Linked DNA regions of Pelodiscus sinensis. The protein of the gene in region 1 purifies or fractionates together with the protein of each later gene. This does not show direct contact. Links are inferred from orthologs where the notes say so. Each region holds a gene or a part of one and is shown on either strand. Other genes may lie near its edges.

What was found.
Region 2: the proteins of TMEM259 (region 1) and TMUB1 purify together in Homo sapiens (affinity purification with mass spectrometry; 3 studies listed by BioGRID, with this or other methods). This does not show direct contact. The link is inferred for Pelodiscus sinensis from reciprocal best matches to the Homo sapiens genes TMEM259 and TMUB1.

What each region holds. Positions count from the first base shown.
Region 1 is NC_134729.1:16,439,894-16,448,108, forward strand, and holds the start of TMEM259 (membralin), read right to left. Parts: upstream 3,210-8,215; 5' UTR 2,941-3,209; coding exon 2,704-2,940; intron 1-2,703. Other genes in the region: uncharacterized protein LOC142818988, read left to right, coding at 6,858-7,101, 7,571-8,127. UniProt on the Homo sapiens protein: May have a role in the ERAD pathway required for clearance of misfolded proteins in the endoplasmic reticulum (ER). Promotes survival of motor neurons, probably by protecting against ER stress.
Region 2 is NW_027466049.1:4,863-12,758, forward strand, and holds TMUB1 (transmembrane and ubiquitin-like domain-containing protein 1), read left to right. Parts: upstream 1-4,731; 5' UTR 4,732-4,947; coding exon 4,948-5,423; intron 5,424-6,555; coding exon 6,556-6,910; 3' UTR 6,911-7,308; downstream 7,309-7,896. Other genes in the region: FASTK (fas-activated serine/threonine kinase), read left to right, coding at 7,695-7,892. UniProt on the Homo sapiens protein: Involved in sterol-regulated ubiquitination and degradation of HMG-CoA reductase HMGCR. Involved in positive regulation of AMPA-selective glutamate receptor GRIA2 recycling to the cell surface.

The DNA.
Region 1 (8,215 bases):
GAGCAGCTTTTCTCACCCTGGAGGACGCGGGCGGCGGGACCGCGGCGCATCTGGGCGTCCCGCCGCTCGCATCCTCCGGGGTGAGAAAAGCCCCATTCGTAACTGCGGATCCGACATAAGTCGGATCCGCGTAACTCGGGGACTGCCTGTACACAAGTCCCTACTAACACTACAGATCAAATTCCCAAAACACAGATAAACTCTTCCCAAATCCAGTAGTCAGCCATCAGACTGGAAGATTGAAGCCATGCTGAAAAACCCAAAAGACCAAACTCAATCATTTTGACAGAGAAACTGAAAGACACAATTCTCTCTTAACTACACAAAATACTTCCTCAAGCAATTAGGAATAATGAATGCTTCCCATGAAAGCACAAGAAAGACTGCACAATTTTCTGAGTAGTAAGAGGCCCAAATAGCTTCAAGATGGGCATATCAGAACAGGGGGGCAATAGCACTGAACTCTGTTACTCTCATACCACCAATCCTGCAGTTAGATCCTCAGTTAGATTTTGCATGAGCTAAAATCATGTGGAAACAAAGTGATTCAAAAGGAGTCAAAGCAGCCTTCTTTGGGCCACCTCCCTAGATAGTCTATTCTACAGCCTTCTGTAATCAGTTCCAACTTAATAGAAAACATGGCCCCTGCTCTTCCCCAAACCCCTTAGACAGCCAGCATCAGACAGGAACTCAGACCTTGATGAGAGACAGGAACCCCAGCTGGATCCTAAAATGATCCACGGTCCCCATATGAACACCATGGACTTTGAACACCCTATCAATGGAGTCCAGACACCAGGGCTATGTCTACACTGTGGACACTCTCTTGCGCAAGAAAGCGCCGATGGCCATTTTAGCCAAACTGTCTTTTCCGAAACCACGTTGAAAACACCAAATCATTTTCTATTGGCCACACAGCCATCAGATGGTGGTGTGCACTCGCCTATCAGTCTAGGTTGGACTAGAACCTGTGACTTTAGATAGGAAAGTTTCGGAAATGCTATTACAGCTAATGTGTAAAATAAAAATTCACGTGGTACACAAGTTAAGAGGAAAGGATCTGTACATCTGGGTGTCATGCTTGGATTATCTAAGGTTAAACGTTTTGTTTAAGGCACATGGAACATACCATACGTAATCAGCATTAACTCAAAGGTAGGTACAAAGAGTTGTCCTGTGGCACCAGAGACTAACAAAAATATACATACAGGTTGGACCTCCCTGGTCCAGCACCCTCAGGATCTGACCAGTCCTGGATGAGGGAATTTGCTGGACAACGGGAGGTTACCTGACACCAGCCCCTCAGTCCCTTCCTGCTGCTGGCAACTTTGGCCCAGCCGGGCTGCCTTCTGGCCAGTCCCAGCTCCGCTGCCAGCTGGGCGGCACGATGTCTAACTGGGATGCTGCAGGCCCAATCCCCCGCTGGGTGGCACGTGGCTCCAGCCACGCTGCCTCTGCGAGGCTGCGCCAAGGCCCCAGCCTAGATTCCCCTCCCGTGTTGCTGCAGCCCCAGCCTTGCTGTCGGGCAGTAGGCAGCCCTGATTGTGCTCTGCTGTTGCTGCTCAGGCTGCTGCGGCATAGCTGCTGCTAGACTCACCAGGCTGCACCACTTTCCCAGCTGCTGGGCCTCCTGCTCTGGGGCTCTCTCATGCTGAACCACAGATGTTGCCAGACCAGAGAGACCTGAATTTGGGAGGTTCAACCTGTAGGATCATGAGCTTTCATGGGCAAAACCCATCTCTTCAGATGGGCTGGAAATGTAGGTGTGTAGGTTTAGCAGTACAGTTCTAAGGCAGCAGTGAATAAGTCTTTGGATACGTCTCCCAAGGGAAGTTTCACATACTTAGTCATGGAAAACAGATCTATTAATGGTTGGAGATTGTTCCTACACCACTGCCAAGCCCAGAGACTATCTACCTACCCCAACCTGGAGCCATGCACCCAGTTACCGTATATAATGGTTCAACAGAAAAATACACCAGCCTGATGGGAAAGTCTCTCCGGCCAGTGTAGGTGGGGTGAGGTGACTGATCCTAGGGTAGCAGCCAATCTCTCCTGTGGGTTAACAGCTGTTTGGAAGCAAGTCAGGCTTGACTGAGCTGTACAAGGGGGTGAAGACTGATGTAGAAAGTAGAGATGTAATAGTATAGTTGATTAACCCATAAGCAAACGCTCACAGGTTAATGCTACAGACTACATGCATTTCCCTCCCCTCCCTGCCAGTAATTTTTGTTAGTAGCCCGGCCAGCAGCCTGGCTCAGTCCTGGCTTGTGCTGGGTCCAGGATCTCCCCCCACTGTGGCTCTTGACTTAAAGTATATTAGGAGCCAGGTGGGCAGGCAGCTCCGCTCAATTCCAGCTTGTGCTGACCCCATTCCCGAGAAGCCTCCTGCAACCCTGAGCGGCTGCATCTCCAGGGGCAACAGAGTGGGGTGAGAGGAAGCCGGTCCACACGAGGAGCTGGTTTTTAAGTTGGCTCCTCTGGCAGACCAGCTCCCATCTGGCACCCTGCGCTGCTGCCTCTGATAGAGAGACAGCAGCGCAGGGTGACAGGGGACTCCCCGGGAGTGGGGCCAGAGCACATGGGCTGCCACTCTCAGGGACTATAGAATAGTCGACTAACTGATAAACTGTGAGGTTAATCGACTATTCATCCTTAGTGGAACGTGCCCCCAGTTCACACACACGTGGCCCTGCCCCTCACCTTGAGGAGGACAAAGAACTCGAAGATGCGGCGGAAGGAGGGTGGGAAGAGGCGGGCGTAGGTGACAGCCATCTTGAAGAAGAGGGCATGGAAGAGGCGGTCGCGCACGTTGATCAGGGGGTTCTGGTTGAGGTTGGGGTTCCGCACCCCCCGGTTGTTCCCCGCGGCAGCCCCACCGGCCCCGTTGTTGTTCACCGGGTGCTGGTGCTGGTTTGCATTGGGCTGGTTCTCCGACATCCTGGCCCTGTGGGGCGGGGGCACCCGGCCGTTTCGGGAGCGCGGGGATCACAGGCCTGTCACCAAGGTGAGGGGGAGGCTCGGACTCCTTTTGGGGGGGGGGGGGAAGCGGCTGGGGGAGGGGTGCTGTTCCAGACCAAATCTGACAGAACCAGCCCGGGGGGGGGGGAGGGGGGGAGTAGTTCAGCCCCCCCCTTCACACAGGACAGAGGGAACCGCTGCGAGGGGAGCCCGCGGGTGGGGGGGTCACACGGGGGGAGCTCAGGGGTGACCCTGGGGGCAGAGGGACACGGGGGGGGGAAGAGTAACGCGGGGGGGGGGGCCCGGGTGTGATACTCGGGGGGGCCTCTGGGGGCGGGGGGGGGTCACGCGGGGGGGCCCTGGGGGGTCACGCGGGGGGGCTCGGGGGTCACGCGGGGGGGGCACCCGGGGGGGTCACGCGGGGGGGGGCCACGCGGGGGGGCCCTGGGGGTCACGCGGGGGGGTCACGCGGGGGGGTCACGCGCGGCGGCGGGGCCGCGGCAGGCCCGGGCGGGGACGCGGCTCCTGGGCCGGCCCCGCGGCCATGGGGGCCCCGCTCCGCCTCCCTCCGCCGCGTCTCACGACCCGGCCCGCGCCGCCGCCATCTTCCGCCTCCTGCTGCCCCGGCCCGGAGGCTGCACCGCGCCAACGAGCGCGCGCCGGCCCGAGAGCGGCAGCTGCGCAGGGGACGCCGGGACGGTGGCGGGCCAGAGGGGCCGGGCCTACGTTTTAGCCTTATTTGCATATTCGACTAAGGCGCGCCCTGTGGTTCCCGGCATGCGCCGCGAAAGAAGCCTGGTTAGAAAATAAAAAGGAAATTAAAAGCGTTAAAACGGAGGAACAGTGAAAAAAAGCCACCGAGAGGATCAGGATCCGCGTGGTTCGTTCACTAGTGACTGAGGCACCCCAGCGCGGACACGAGGCAAATCACCCTAATGGAGAAATATTTCACTTCTGGAGGTTTAAATAGCTCCGGGGTTTCACTTAGATTCGTGCTCGCTTCGGCAGCACATATACTAAAATTGGAACGATACAGAGAAGATTAGCATGGCCCCTGCGCAAGGATGACACGCAAATTCGTGAAGCGTTCCATATTTTTGGGGCCTGGCTGGCTTCCGCCTGGTTCTTCCCACCGCCCAGCTACTGAATCCACTGGGGCAGCTGCTCCCCAGGAACCTTTTACAGCCCAAAGCTCAGCGCAGGGCATCACAGCTCAGAACAGGGCAATTATCCACCCTGTGCCAATCTCCCAGCCTCTGAAAGGACACCTGGAGCATTGGGCTATGTCCCAGGCAACCTTCCTACTAATTTTTTTCCATCCACGTGCGGAATAATTTGATGTGCACTGGGGCATGTGCGATGTGCACCACCAATAGAACCACATCACCTGGCTGTTTGTCACTCTGCTAATCAGCAGGGCAGCGTTTGAATTTCTCTTGAGCAGCTGCTCAAGGAACACTGGGCCCAGGCCATCGTGGCTAATAGCTAGTGACGGACCGGGCATGTCGAATTCTTCTTTGAACCCAGTTATACGTTGACCCTCCACAACAGCCCCTGGCAGGGAGGGTTGTGTGTCTGGGTTGTCTGATGGGCCATGGAGGCGGGGGATGGCTTGACTGCGAATGTGTTTTCAAGCTGCTGTGTTTCAGATGCTCTGTAACTCGCAGCAAGCAAGTAACACTTTACCCAGTAGGTCTTCTGTGTTTGGTTCAAAAACTCTCCTTGGGTCCTAGCCGGCAGGCGGCTCTGTGCAGCCTAGAACTGCAAGGGCAGGTAGTAAGAGAAGTGCAGGTTTTTCCCAAGCGCTGTCTGGAAAGAGGGTTAAAGAGCTGGAGTAACCCATAGGAGGAAATTCCCAAGTGCATCTTGGGGGGCGCAAGGGGTGTTTGCCTTGGCTGGTGGCAGCCACACCAAGGCCAGGGAATCTGTGACCATGGGGAGTTTTTTAAACAGATTCCTTTAGTGGCCTGGTATTTTAGAGTCGCTTGCCGGCCCCACCCTCTGGGGCGCAGCCTTGAGACGGGGAGAGGCCAGAGACTCCGTCACAGCCAGGCCGCTCCTAGGCCACGCCCTGGGCTAGGGCTCCAGGCTGAGTTGGAGCCTGGGCTCACAACCCCGCACACCCCCCAGACAGCCCCGCGGGACAGCAGCAGCCCCCGCTCAGGCAAAGCCACCAGGCCCCTTCGGCCACAGCTGGGCCCTGCCGCCTGCACGTTGCCGGGGCCGAGCAAGGCGCGGGCGAGCGGCACCTGCCTGGCTAATTTCTAAGGGGCCGGGCAGGTGGGAGGCCCTGCACGGATGAATTCACACAAGGCCCCTGCTGCGTGGGCGGGGTGACTCCGTGGGGCACCAGGGTTGCAAGAGGAGAGAGGGACCCCTGGGGCCTCCCCATGAGCCTGCGGTGAGGCCAGCCTGCCGGGGAATTCTGGCCCCCCTGCCTGGCTGGTAGGAAGGACGCTGGCGCCAGGGCTCTCTGTTGATCCGGGCTGTTTGTGTTGCTACTGGTGCAGTGGCCTAGGGGTGTGTGTGTGTGTGTGTGTGTGCGTGTGTGTGTGTTCAGCTAAGGTGGCGCCAGCAGGCGGGAGGCCTGAGCCGCCCGAGAAGGGCTGGCGGGGAGCCCCAGTGGGGGCGTTCCCGAGGGATCCCATCCCCAAGGCAGCACCGGAGGCCCGGGCTGCACGGTCACACGCTGCACCAGGCCTTGGCAATTCGCCAGCGCACCTGGAGAGCCGGCTTGGTGTTCCGGCACATCCCTGCCTCAGTCACGCACTGCTCCACGAGCCCCTCTGCCTGCGAGCCCATGGGCCACAAGCCCCATGCTGGCAGCAAGAGAGAAACTGGCTGCAGCCACATCTCTGGCCAACCTTACAGAGGAGGCTCTGAGACCAGGCTTCCCTCTCATTTTTTCCATCCATGGGGGAATAAATTTTGTTCCGTGCACCGAGGCATGTGCGGATGTGCACCACCAGTTGAAACAGGCTGCTGGCTGCAGGTGCTCTGAGAATCAGCTGGGTGGCATTTGAATCTCTCCTGCGGGGGCTGCCCAAGTGCCCAGCTTACAGGGAACACTGCCCGAGACCTGCCCCTGCCGGGCACCAATACATCCCAGAGGCTGCACCGCCTCGTGGCCACCCCCTGCCCCCACCTGCGTGACCCAAGCCGGCCGTGGGCTCACAGCAGCCAGTAAGCGCCGCAGGGAGGGGCAGGGTTCCCTGCTCGGCATACGTCCTGCGCTGAGCACAGTGGGGCCCCGGCCTCCAGAAACTGCTCTGAATTGAACCCTGATCCGTACCCGTCTGAGCGTATGAGGCCATCACTAGTGCGGGGGCAGGGCGTCTATCCAAGTAAGGGCTAGGTCCTGGGAAGTTTGGGGTGGTGGCAGTGCTAGCTAATGGTTAGAGCACAGGCTTGGGCAATCTGGATTCTATTCTTGCGTCTCCCACAGGCCTGCCAGTGGTACGTCACAACCCTTTCCTGGTGCCTCAGTTTCCCCATGGGGATGATGCTACTGCGCTCCTCTGTAAAGCCCCTGCTGAGCAGTGTGAGCTAATAACCATCCCGTGCGTGTCTCTAGCAAGGCTGGCAGGGAACAGGGTCACAGGCAGGGATCGGGGACGGCGCCCAGTGCAGGGGGCACAGGGATCCGGGGGTCGTTGGGGCTGCAGGCAGGGGAAGGAGCCGGGAGTCGGAAGTTGCAACCTGTGAATGAGCCAAACCCTCTGCACCGGCCCATGTGAGCAATTCCACCTTAAGAGACACCGGCCCTGCCCCCCCGGCAGCGGCCCCCTGCTTGGTTACTGTCCCAGGCACCGCAGAGCAGGGGCCACCCCACGGCGCAGCCCAGCACTGGGCAGGTGGATGGATCTGCCCAGAGGGGAGACACCAGGGCACGGCCCATGCTGGGAACCTCCGACCTGCCTCCGTGCACGGCCAGCCCCCCGCCTCCTCCAGCGTCTCCCTCCGGCTTCCCCCCCCCGCACCCTCGCTCCCCACCGGTACCCGAGCGCCCACGGCTGCCCGCCCCCCGCCGGAGGATGGGCTTGGGGCACCGGACGGAGGCGAGAGCGCAGCCGAGGCTGCCCCACTTCTCGTGGACGGACTTGGTGTTCCGCCCCCCACCGGGCCAGCCTCCGCGGGAAGGTACGGCCCACGATAGGTCCCCGTCCCCGACAAGCCGGGACAGCTAGACCAGTGTGTGTGTGTGTGGGGGGGGGGGTGTCTGCATGTGTGTGGGTGTGTGTGTGTGCGTGAGTAGTGTCTGAATGTGTGTCTGTGTGTGTGTGCTTGTGCGTGTGCGTGCGTGTGTGCACGACGGGTACTGACATGCAGCCTCCTCTGGGGTGGGCCGGCGAGCGGGAGGACAGCTCACAGCTGGTGTTTCATGCCGGCGCAGAGGGGGCCGGGCAGCTGGAGGTGCGGTTGGGAGGCGGCTCCAGCTGGGGCCCGGGTGCGTCTGAGATGTCGGGGGCTGGGGGGGGGCAGCACCTTCCTTTGCCAGAGGCCTTGGCACCTCTGCGGGGAGGGATTTAAACACCCTCCACTGGCCTAGTGCCGTGGGGCCCAGCCCCCCAGCCCCCCCTCTGGACCCAGCGCTCCCCTCCCCTTCCAGGCCTCCCCGCGTCGGACCCCTGCGGCGGGGGGCGCAGGGCGGGTGGGCGGAAGCAGAGCCAGCAGCCAGCTCCCCTGGCCGTGGCCCCCGGCCCGGAACGCGGCACAGGAACGGGGGCGTCTCCAGCCAGCGGCTGCCCCGCCAGGCCCCCCGCGGAGACCCCGGCTGCTCCCCCGGCGCCCCGGGAGGCGGCCAGAGAGAGGCCCACGCGCCGGACGATCCTGGTGGATCTGCGCCCCGTGCTGGAGACGGTGGCGGAGCCCTGGGAGGGCCGTGCGGAGCCGCGGAGCCGCCCCAGCGAGGGAGGCTGCGCCGGTGCCGTAGAGGCAGCCAGGGACGGTCCTGCTTCCGGGGCCATCTCGCTGCCTCCCAGTGCGGCCCAGCCCCGAGGCAGCATCCCGGGGCCGGCAGCGCACAAGCCGCCCGGTGGCCAGGCTCCAAGAGACGGCGCGCCCGCCCGCCGGGCTGCGGCCCCGCCGCCCTTCCCACAGAGGCTCCCCCCGCCGGGACCCGCGCTGCAGCCGCCAGCCCCCCCCAGGGGCCGCTCAGCAGAGATGGTGAGTGGCACCTCCCCCCGGCACCGGGCCCTCGGCTTCCACCCGGCCTGCGGCAGGTTTCCTGCTGCCAGCGCCGCCGGCCGGCTGA
Region 2 (7,896 bases), on another chromosome or scaffold:
GCCCCCGCCGCCTGGCTCTCGGGACGCGGCTCTCGGGACGCCCCCGCCGCCTGGCTCTCGGGACGTGGCTCTCGGGACGCCCCCGCCGCCTGGCTCTCGGGACGTGGCTCTCGGGACGTGGCTCTCGGGACGCCCCCGCCGCCTGGCCCTCGGGACGCAGCTCTTGGGACGCCCGCGCCGCCTGGCCCTCGGGACGCCCGCGCCGCCTGGCCCTCGGGACGCCCCCGCCGCCTGGCCCTCGGGACGCCCGCGCCGCCTGGCCTTCGGGACGCCCGCGCCGCCTGGCCCTCGGGACGCCCCCGCCGCCTGGCTCTCGGGACGCGGCTCTCGGGACGCCCCTGTGACGGCGCGATGGGGTTCCCCCGTCTCCTGCACCCCGAAATGGCACAAACAGACTGCACCAGCCAGTGGAATAGAGGAAGTTTATTGCCTCTCCAGGATACAGCACAGCACAGATGTAATCTGGTCACAGAGCTGGGCTAGGATGCCTCAGGCCCCCTTGAGATGGGGGAGACTGGGCCCCTAAACTCCAGCCCCTTCCCCTAGGCTGTCTCCTCCATGCTCCCAGCCAGCAACTAAACTCACCCTCTTCCAGCCCTGCCCCCCAGCCAGGGCAGCATCCACCTTCCTTTGTTCCTCTCCATGGGGGGTGTCTGACCACTGGTTCAACAAGTTTGGCCTTCCCTCTGCCTAGTGAGGTTTTCCCTGCTGGGTCTTGCTCCAGACAGCAGGGGTCAGCACAGCCCAGCAAGTACCCCCACTACGTCACAGTTCTCCCCCCTCCGAGAGCGAACTGAGCAGGGTCACTCCGCTCGTGACCTAGGGAAGTTCGGGTCCTCTGCGTGGGAACCCGCCCTGGGGACATGGGTGCTCCCCTTGACTCAGGCCGGCCGTGGCGAGGCCCCACATGAGCTGGCTTCCCTCTGTCCACTCGCCGCCCCGCTCCAGGGCGACTGGCACAGGCCTGTCCTCGGGGGTCACACCCACCCTTCCACTGGCCTTGATCTCTGGCCAGGGTCTCTCGGGCCGGGGCCATGAGCCCAGTGAGCCTTCTCTGGACAACCAGGGCGGCTCCCACACCCGACGCTCCATCCAGGGAGGACTTCCCCTCCCATAACTCTCTCAGCAAGCCCAGAGGGTCTATCTGGGGTAGAGACCCCCAAGCCGCTTTCCTCCTGTCTTGGGCCTTCCCGCCCCTCTGGCAGGAGTCACAGGACCGGCAGTACCGCTGCACGGCTGTAAAGATTCCCGGCCAATAGAAGTGCTGGAGCAGCCTCAGCCGGGTGCTCCGGATCCCCCGGTGGCCCCCAACGGGGACATCGTGGGCCAAATACAGCAGCTTGAGGCGATACTTTCGGGGGACGACCAGCTGCCGCTGGACCCTCCATGCCCTCACCTTCCTGGGGGGAAGCCATTCACGGAACAGGAGCCCACGCTCCACCAGGAATCTCTCCTGGCCACCTCTCCCACGGGGCTGAGCTGCACGGAGGCCAGCCTGGTCCCTCAGCCTCTGCAAGGAGGGGTCTGCCTGCACCTCTGCCTGGAATTCAGCTGCTGAGGCAGGGATCGGGACCTGTTCCCCACCTTTGCCTAGGTCCGGAGTCCCAGCCTGGCTGGACCCCGTGTCCACTGGGATGGGACCCTGAGGACGCTGCCAGGAGTCCTTCCCTGGACCCACGTTGTCAGCCCCCCGCTGGCTCTGGCTCCGGGTAGTGACTAGAGCCCGCTGGGATTCATGGGGCCACTCCTCTAGGTCATTCCCCATCAGCACCTTGGTGGGCAAGTGCGGGTGCACCCCCACTTCCTTGAGGCCTTCCTTCGCCCCCCATTTCAGATGCACCCGGGCTACAGGCACCTTAAACGGGGACCCGTCTATGCCCTTCAGGGTCAGCTGGGTGTGGGGTAGTATCCGGTCTGGGGCCACTATGTCGGATCGGGCCAGAGTCACCTCCGCCCCCGTGTCCCAGAAGCCCGTCACCTTCCTACCATCCACCTCCAGGGGTATGAGGCACTCGCTCCGCAGGGGCCGTCCTGCCCCCACCCGGTACACGGAGAAATCCGCCTCCTGAGAATCAGACCTCCCAGGGGAGGTGCACTGAGCACCCTTCCCCTCTCTCTGAGCTGAGGTTTGCCTGCCAGCCCCTGCCTCTGGGACAGCCTGCCCTTCCTCCCGCCCCAGCCAGTTAACCCTGGAAAGTCCCCGGTCCTGGGACCTGGTGCACTGAGCCCTCTTGTGGCCTTTTTGCCCACAGCGATGGCAAGTTAGGCTTTGGGCTGTCTCTGTCCAGGCCCTGGCTGGTTCTCTGGGGCACAGACGACCTGTTCCTTGGGCTCGCCCCGTAGTTGACTCTCTCCGTCGCTCAGCTGAGATCCGGTCTCTGCGCGGTTCCCTTTCTCTCCGGGACTCCCGTTCACACCCGGACCGGCTCTCCGTGAACTCATCTGCCAGCCTCCCGGCCTCCTGGGGGTTCTCTGGTCTCCGGTCCTTGAGCCACAGCCTCAGTTTGGGTGGGCACGCTTCATAGAACTGCTCCATCATGACCAGCCTGAGCAGCTCCTCTGTGGTCTGGGCTCCGACTCCAGACACCCACTTGCGGCAGTATTGCGCCAGGCGGGAGGCCAGGTCCACATAGGTCTCCCGTGGCCCTTTCTGTACCCCCCGGAGCTTCTTCCTGTACATCTCGGGGGTCAGCCCGAACTTGTGCAGCAGGGCCTCCTTGACTCGGTTGTAATCCCCTGGCTGTAGGTCCTCCAGCTGACTGAGCACTCCGGCCGCCTCCTGGTTCAGTGCGGGGATGAGCTCCTGCAGCCAGTCAGCTGGGGGGACCCGTTGCAGTCCACAGGCCCTCTCAAAGGCACTGAGGAACCCGTCTATGTCACCCATGTCCTTCAATTGGGCCACCACGGGCCTCTCCAAGCATCTGGCAGTCCTGGGACCCTGGGGCCCATCCGCACTTGGCGCAGCCGGTGCCCCGCCGGTTCTCCGCTCTGCCATGGCCAGCTCATGCTGTCGCTGCCTCTCTCGGTCCTGGCGGTCCCTCTCTCGGTCCTCTACTTCCAATTCCCTGATCCGCAGCTGGATCTCCAGCCGCAGCAGCTCCGCTGGGCTGTCCCCTGCCCTAGATGGGCTATTACTTGCAGGCCTCCCGGGAGACGCTGTCTCATCTCTCCGGTGGGTTCCAGCGCTCCTCCCCCCCTCTGAGCCTGACACACTCTCAGGAGGGGTCTGGCTGCTCCCCCTGGGGACAAGATCCTGGCCCTGTGGCTGGTCATTCTCTTCCAGCCGGGCAATCAGCTGGGCCTTGGTTGCTTTCCCCACGGGCAGGCCCCTCTCTCTGCACAGCCCCACCAGCTCTGCCTTCAAGAGTCGGGCGTAGGCCATCTGCCCGCTGGGCCCCTCGGTGCAGACTCACCAGTCTAGTGCTGCAGCGCCCCACGATTCCCAGGAACCACTTCTCTCTGCCTCCAGCACGCCTGGCTCCAGGGCTCTTGCTTCTACAGCGCCTTGTCACTTGCCACTGGAAGCTCCATCCACGGGGTGCAGTGCATCCCGCTCCTGACACCAGTGTGACGGCGCGTTGGGGTTCCCCACCTCCTGCACCCCGAAATGGCACAAACAGACTGTACCAGCCGGTGGAATAGAGGAAGTTTATTGCCTCTCCAGGATACAGCACAGCACAGATGTAGTCTGGTCACAGAGCTGGGCTAGGATGCCTCAGGCCCCCTTGAGTTGGGGGGAGACTGGGCCCCTAAACTCCAGCCTCTTTCCCTAGGCTCTCCTCCATGCTCCCAGACAGTAACTTACTAACCCTCTTCCAGCCCTGCCCCCCAGTCAGGGCAGCATCCACCTTCCTTTGTTCCTCTCCATGGGGGGTGTCTGGCCACTGGTTCAACAAGTTTGGCACTACCTCTGCCTAGTGAGGTTTTCCCTGCTGGGTCTTGCTCCAGACAGCAGGGGTCACCACAGCCCAGCAAGTACCCCCACTACGTCACAGCCCCGCCGCCTGGCCCTCGGGACGCGGCTCTCGGGACGCCCCCGCCGCCTGGCTCTCGGGACGCGGCTCTGCCTGGCCCTCGGGACGCGGCTCTCGGGACGCCCCCGCCGCCTGGCCCTCGGGACGCCCCCGCCGCCTGGCCCTCGGGACGGGGAGGGGCAGTGTGGCAGGGGAGCTGCGGATGGGGTGGGTGGGGGCTGGTGTGGCAGGGTAGCTGCGGGTGGTGGGGGTGGCGGGGAGTGGGGGGGCCGGCGTGGCGGGAGAGCTACGGGCGGGGGGGGCTGGCGTCGGGGGGGAGCCCAGCGTGATGGGGGAGCTACGGACAGGGAGGGGCAGGGTGGCAGGGGAGCTGCGGGGGGGTGGACGGCCTGACCGGAGAGCTGCGGGCGGGGGGGGGGCGGCGTGACGGGGGAGCTGCGGGCGGGGGGGGCGGTGGGCGGGGGGGGCCGGCGTGACGGGGGAGCTGCGGGCGGGGGGGGCAGCGGGCGGGGGCTGGCGTGACGGGGGAGCTGCGGGCAGGGGGGGCAGCGGGCGGGGGGGGCCGGCGGGGCGGGGGGGGGCCGGCGTGACGGGGGAGCTGCGGGCGGGGGGGGCGGCGGGCGGGGGCTGGCGTGACGGGGGAGCGGCGGGCGGGGGGGCGGCGGGGCGGCGGGCGGGGGGGCTGGCGTGGCGGGGGAGCTGCGGGCGGGGGGGCCGGCGTGACGGGGGAGCTGCGGGTGGCTGAGCCCCACGTGTCGTGGCTGAGCCAGAGGAAGCTGGCGGCCAGGCCCCCGAACTCGGTGCCAGGCTGTGGGGAGCAGCGGGGCCGGTTGGCCCTGCCCCCCAAGCCAGGAGCAGCGGAAAGGGGCTCTCGGGGGCTCTGGCTGCTGCCTGGGCGGGCCCGGGGCGCTCAGCTGCTGCTCTGTCCCTCTGCAGGCTGGTGACCCGGCTGTCCCGGCGCTGGCCCGCGGCCATGGCTCTGATCGAGGGCGTGGGGGACGAAGTCACCATCCTCTTCGGCCTGCTGCTGGTGCTGCTGGTGCTGGCGCTGGCCTGGGTGTCGACGCACACGGCGGAGCGGGCGGACCAGGTCTTCGCTGCTCCCCCCAGTCTGGCGGCTGGGCGGCTCGGGGCAGAGAGCCTGCTGGAGGAGGAGTCCCGGGAGCCCGGCGCGCCGGCCCCAGCCGCAGGGGGGCCCAGGGAGACGGCGGAGCCTTCGGCAGGTGCCGCGCCAGATGGGCCTGAGGGCACGGCTGCAGGGCTGAGGCACCGGGCCAGCCCCGGATCTGCACAGGGGCCCCCGCAGCCGCCCGAGGGCCCAGGCGCCAGCCCCGAGGCCGTGGACAGTAGCCCCACGGAGCGCGGCACCGTGCTGCGGCTGAAGTTCCTCAACGACACGGAGCGCCTGGTCTCCGTGCGCCCAGACGAGACGGTCGGCTCTCTCAAGAGGTGAGGGGCACGGCCGCCCTCTCGCCTGTGGGAGGGGAGAGGCTCTGGCATCCCTCGGCCTTGCTTGGCCCTCCCTCCCTGGTGCTGGACATGGCTCTCCGCTGCCACCCCCCGGCGGTGAGCCTGCGTGGTAGCCTGAGCCTTGGCAGCGCTGGTCACGGGAACAGCGAGGGCACCCGGCAGAATGCCAGGCCACGGAGGCGATGGGGGCTCCTGGGAGGGAGGTTGGACTGTGCAGGCTGAGGCGTTGAACGCGCGCTCGCCACGCGGGGGCTGGGCCGCGCAGTGGCAGATGCAGTTCCGTGCTGATGGGTGCACAGACCCGAGCGCGCGCACCGCCGGGGACTGACTGGCTGTTCCCACGCAGCCGTGGCAGGAACGTGGGGCCCCTTGGGAGGGGTAGGTAATGCGACAGGAGGCGTTCTACGGCTGCCACGGGGAATACTGAGTGCAGGGCTTCTTGCCAGCCTTCCCTCATCTCTCCCGTCCACGTGTGGAATCAGTTTTCTGGTGTGCACTAAGCGTGTGGGCTGTGCACCACCAGTAGAAACACGCTGCTTGCGATGGACGGCTGCGGGCGCTCTGCCAGCCAGCTGGTGCTCAGCGCACAGCGAAGGCTGCTGCTCATCCCGTCTCAAAAGCTGTATTTGAATGGGAGAAAGGGCCGAGAACCACGGGGCCGTGGTCCGCTCGAAGAGAGGCTGGACGAGAGGAGAGATTGCAAAGACTGGGACTGGCAAAAAGACGACTCTGGCGGAGTCGACCAGTCCAGAAGAGCGGGGGGGTCAGAGCAGTGTTATTTACCGCTTCCCAGAACACAAGGCCCCGGGGCCACTTAGCGACGTTAACACCAACCAGAAGGAAGGGCTGCTTGGCACCGCGCACTGTCCATCTGTGGAACTCCTTGCCGGGGGCGGCGTGGCTAGGTAAAAGCTGGATGAAAACGCACTCGGTCAGTTCCCGGAGCCAGGGCGGTCAGGACACAGCCCCTGCTCCAGGCCTGGTGCTGGGAAGGGATGGCGGGAGAGATCACTCGGCCGCTGGCAGACAGGACCCTGGGGGAGCTGGGCGGGGCCGTTCAGAGGCTCCCGGGGGGCTGGAGTGACGCTGCCCTCCTTGTGTCTCACCACAGGGCCCATTTCCCCGGCCAGGAGCACCAGGTGCGTCTGATCTACCAGGGCCAGCTGCTGCGGGAGGATGCCCAGAGCCTGGCTGCGCTGCATCTCACCCACAACAGCGTTCTCCACTGCCACGTGTCCCAGCATGGCCCCGCCCCCGTGGCTGCTGGCCTCCGGGCCACCGCGGACCCCGTGCACACGGCCCTCAACGTGGGCAGCCTCATGCTGCCGCTCTTCGTGCTCATGCTGGCTGCGCTGTGGTACTTCCAGCTGCAGTACCGGCACGTCTTCACCGCCACAGCCACCACCTGCCTGGCGGGCCTCACCCTGCTCTTCAGCTTCGTGGCCTTCGCGCTGTACCGCAGATAGCGCTGCCCCTCCGGCCGCGGCCTAGCCCCATGCTGCCCCCAACGGGCTCGGGGCTTGTTTGGCAGGGTGGGGGCAAGGCAGGACTGGCCGGCCGGGTGTCACCTGGTTCTGCTGCCGGAGGTGCTGTGCAAATAGAATCTGCCCAGACGCCCGCCCTTGCACGTGCTTGTGCGCAGACTGGGCACGGCTGCCCCGCACGCTGGCTGGAAGCCGGGTGCCCTTTTCCCTGCGAGCTTGAGTGGGCGGGGTCCCCGGGCCGTGGGGCCCTTGCAGCGGGGCAGTCGTGCTGCACGAGGGGCCTGGTGGGGGTCGTGCTGGCCTGGCTCAGCCGCGGGGGGCTAACGGAGCATGGTTCTCATTAGTGCTTCTTTTCAAATTAAAACCTGTGACTGACTGAACTCTGCCTGCCGGCCTGCTGTGTGTGCGGGGCTGCGCGGGGGGGGCAGAGGAGGAGGGGGCATGGGCCGGAGAGGGGCTGGGCTTTCCAGGGCGGTAGGGGAGGGAGACGGGGAGTGGGGGGCAGGGTGTGAGGGGGATGGGAGGGAGCAGACAGAGCAAGGAGGGGAAGGTAGAGGCGGAGCGGTGGGGGAGGGGGTATGAGTAGGGGTGGGCCGGGGGAGGGGAGCGGTGGGGGGCGGGGGAGGGGGTATGAGGAGGGGGTGGGCCGGGGGAGGGGTTTTGAGGAGGGGGAGGGGCCGGGGGAGGGGAACGGTGGGTCGGAGTGGGAGGGGCGAGGGCGGAGGAGCGGCAGGTGGGGGCGGGGTCTCGGGAGGGGGCGGGGCAGATGGGGGGGTCGCCGGGGGCCGCGAGCGAACGCTCACCCTCATTAGCATATGCAAATCGAGCCCGGCCTCCGCGGCGGCGGTGGGGCGCGGCAGGCCCCGCCCCCGGGCCCGTGGGGCGACGCGGGGGCTGCCGGGAAGATGGCGGACGCGGCGGCCGGGCGGCGCTGAGGGGCCTGGGGCGGCGACGGGAGCGAGATGTAG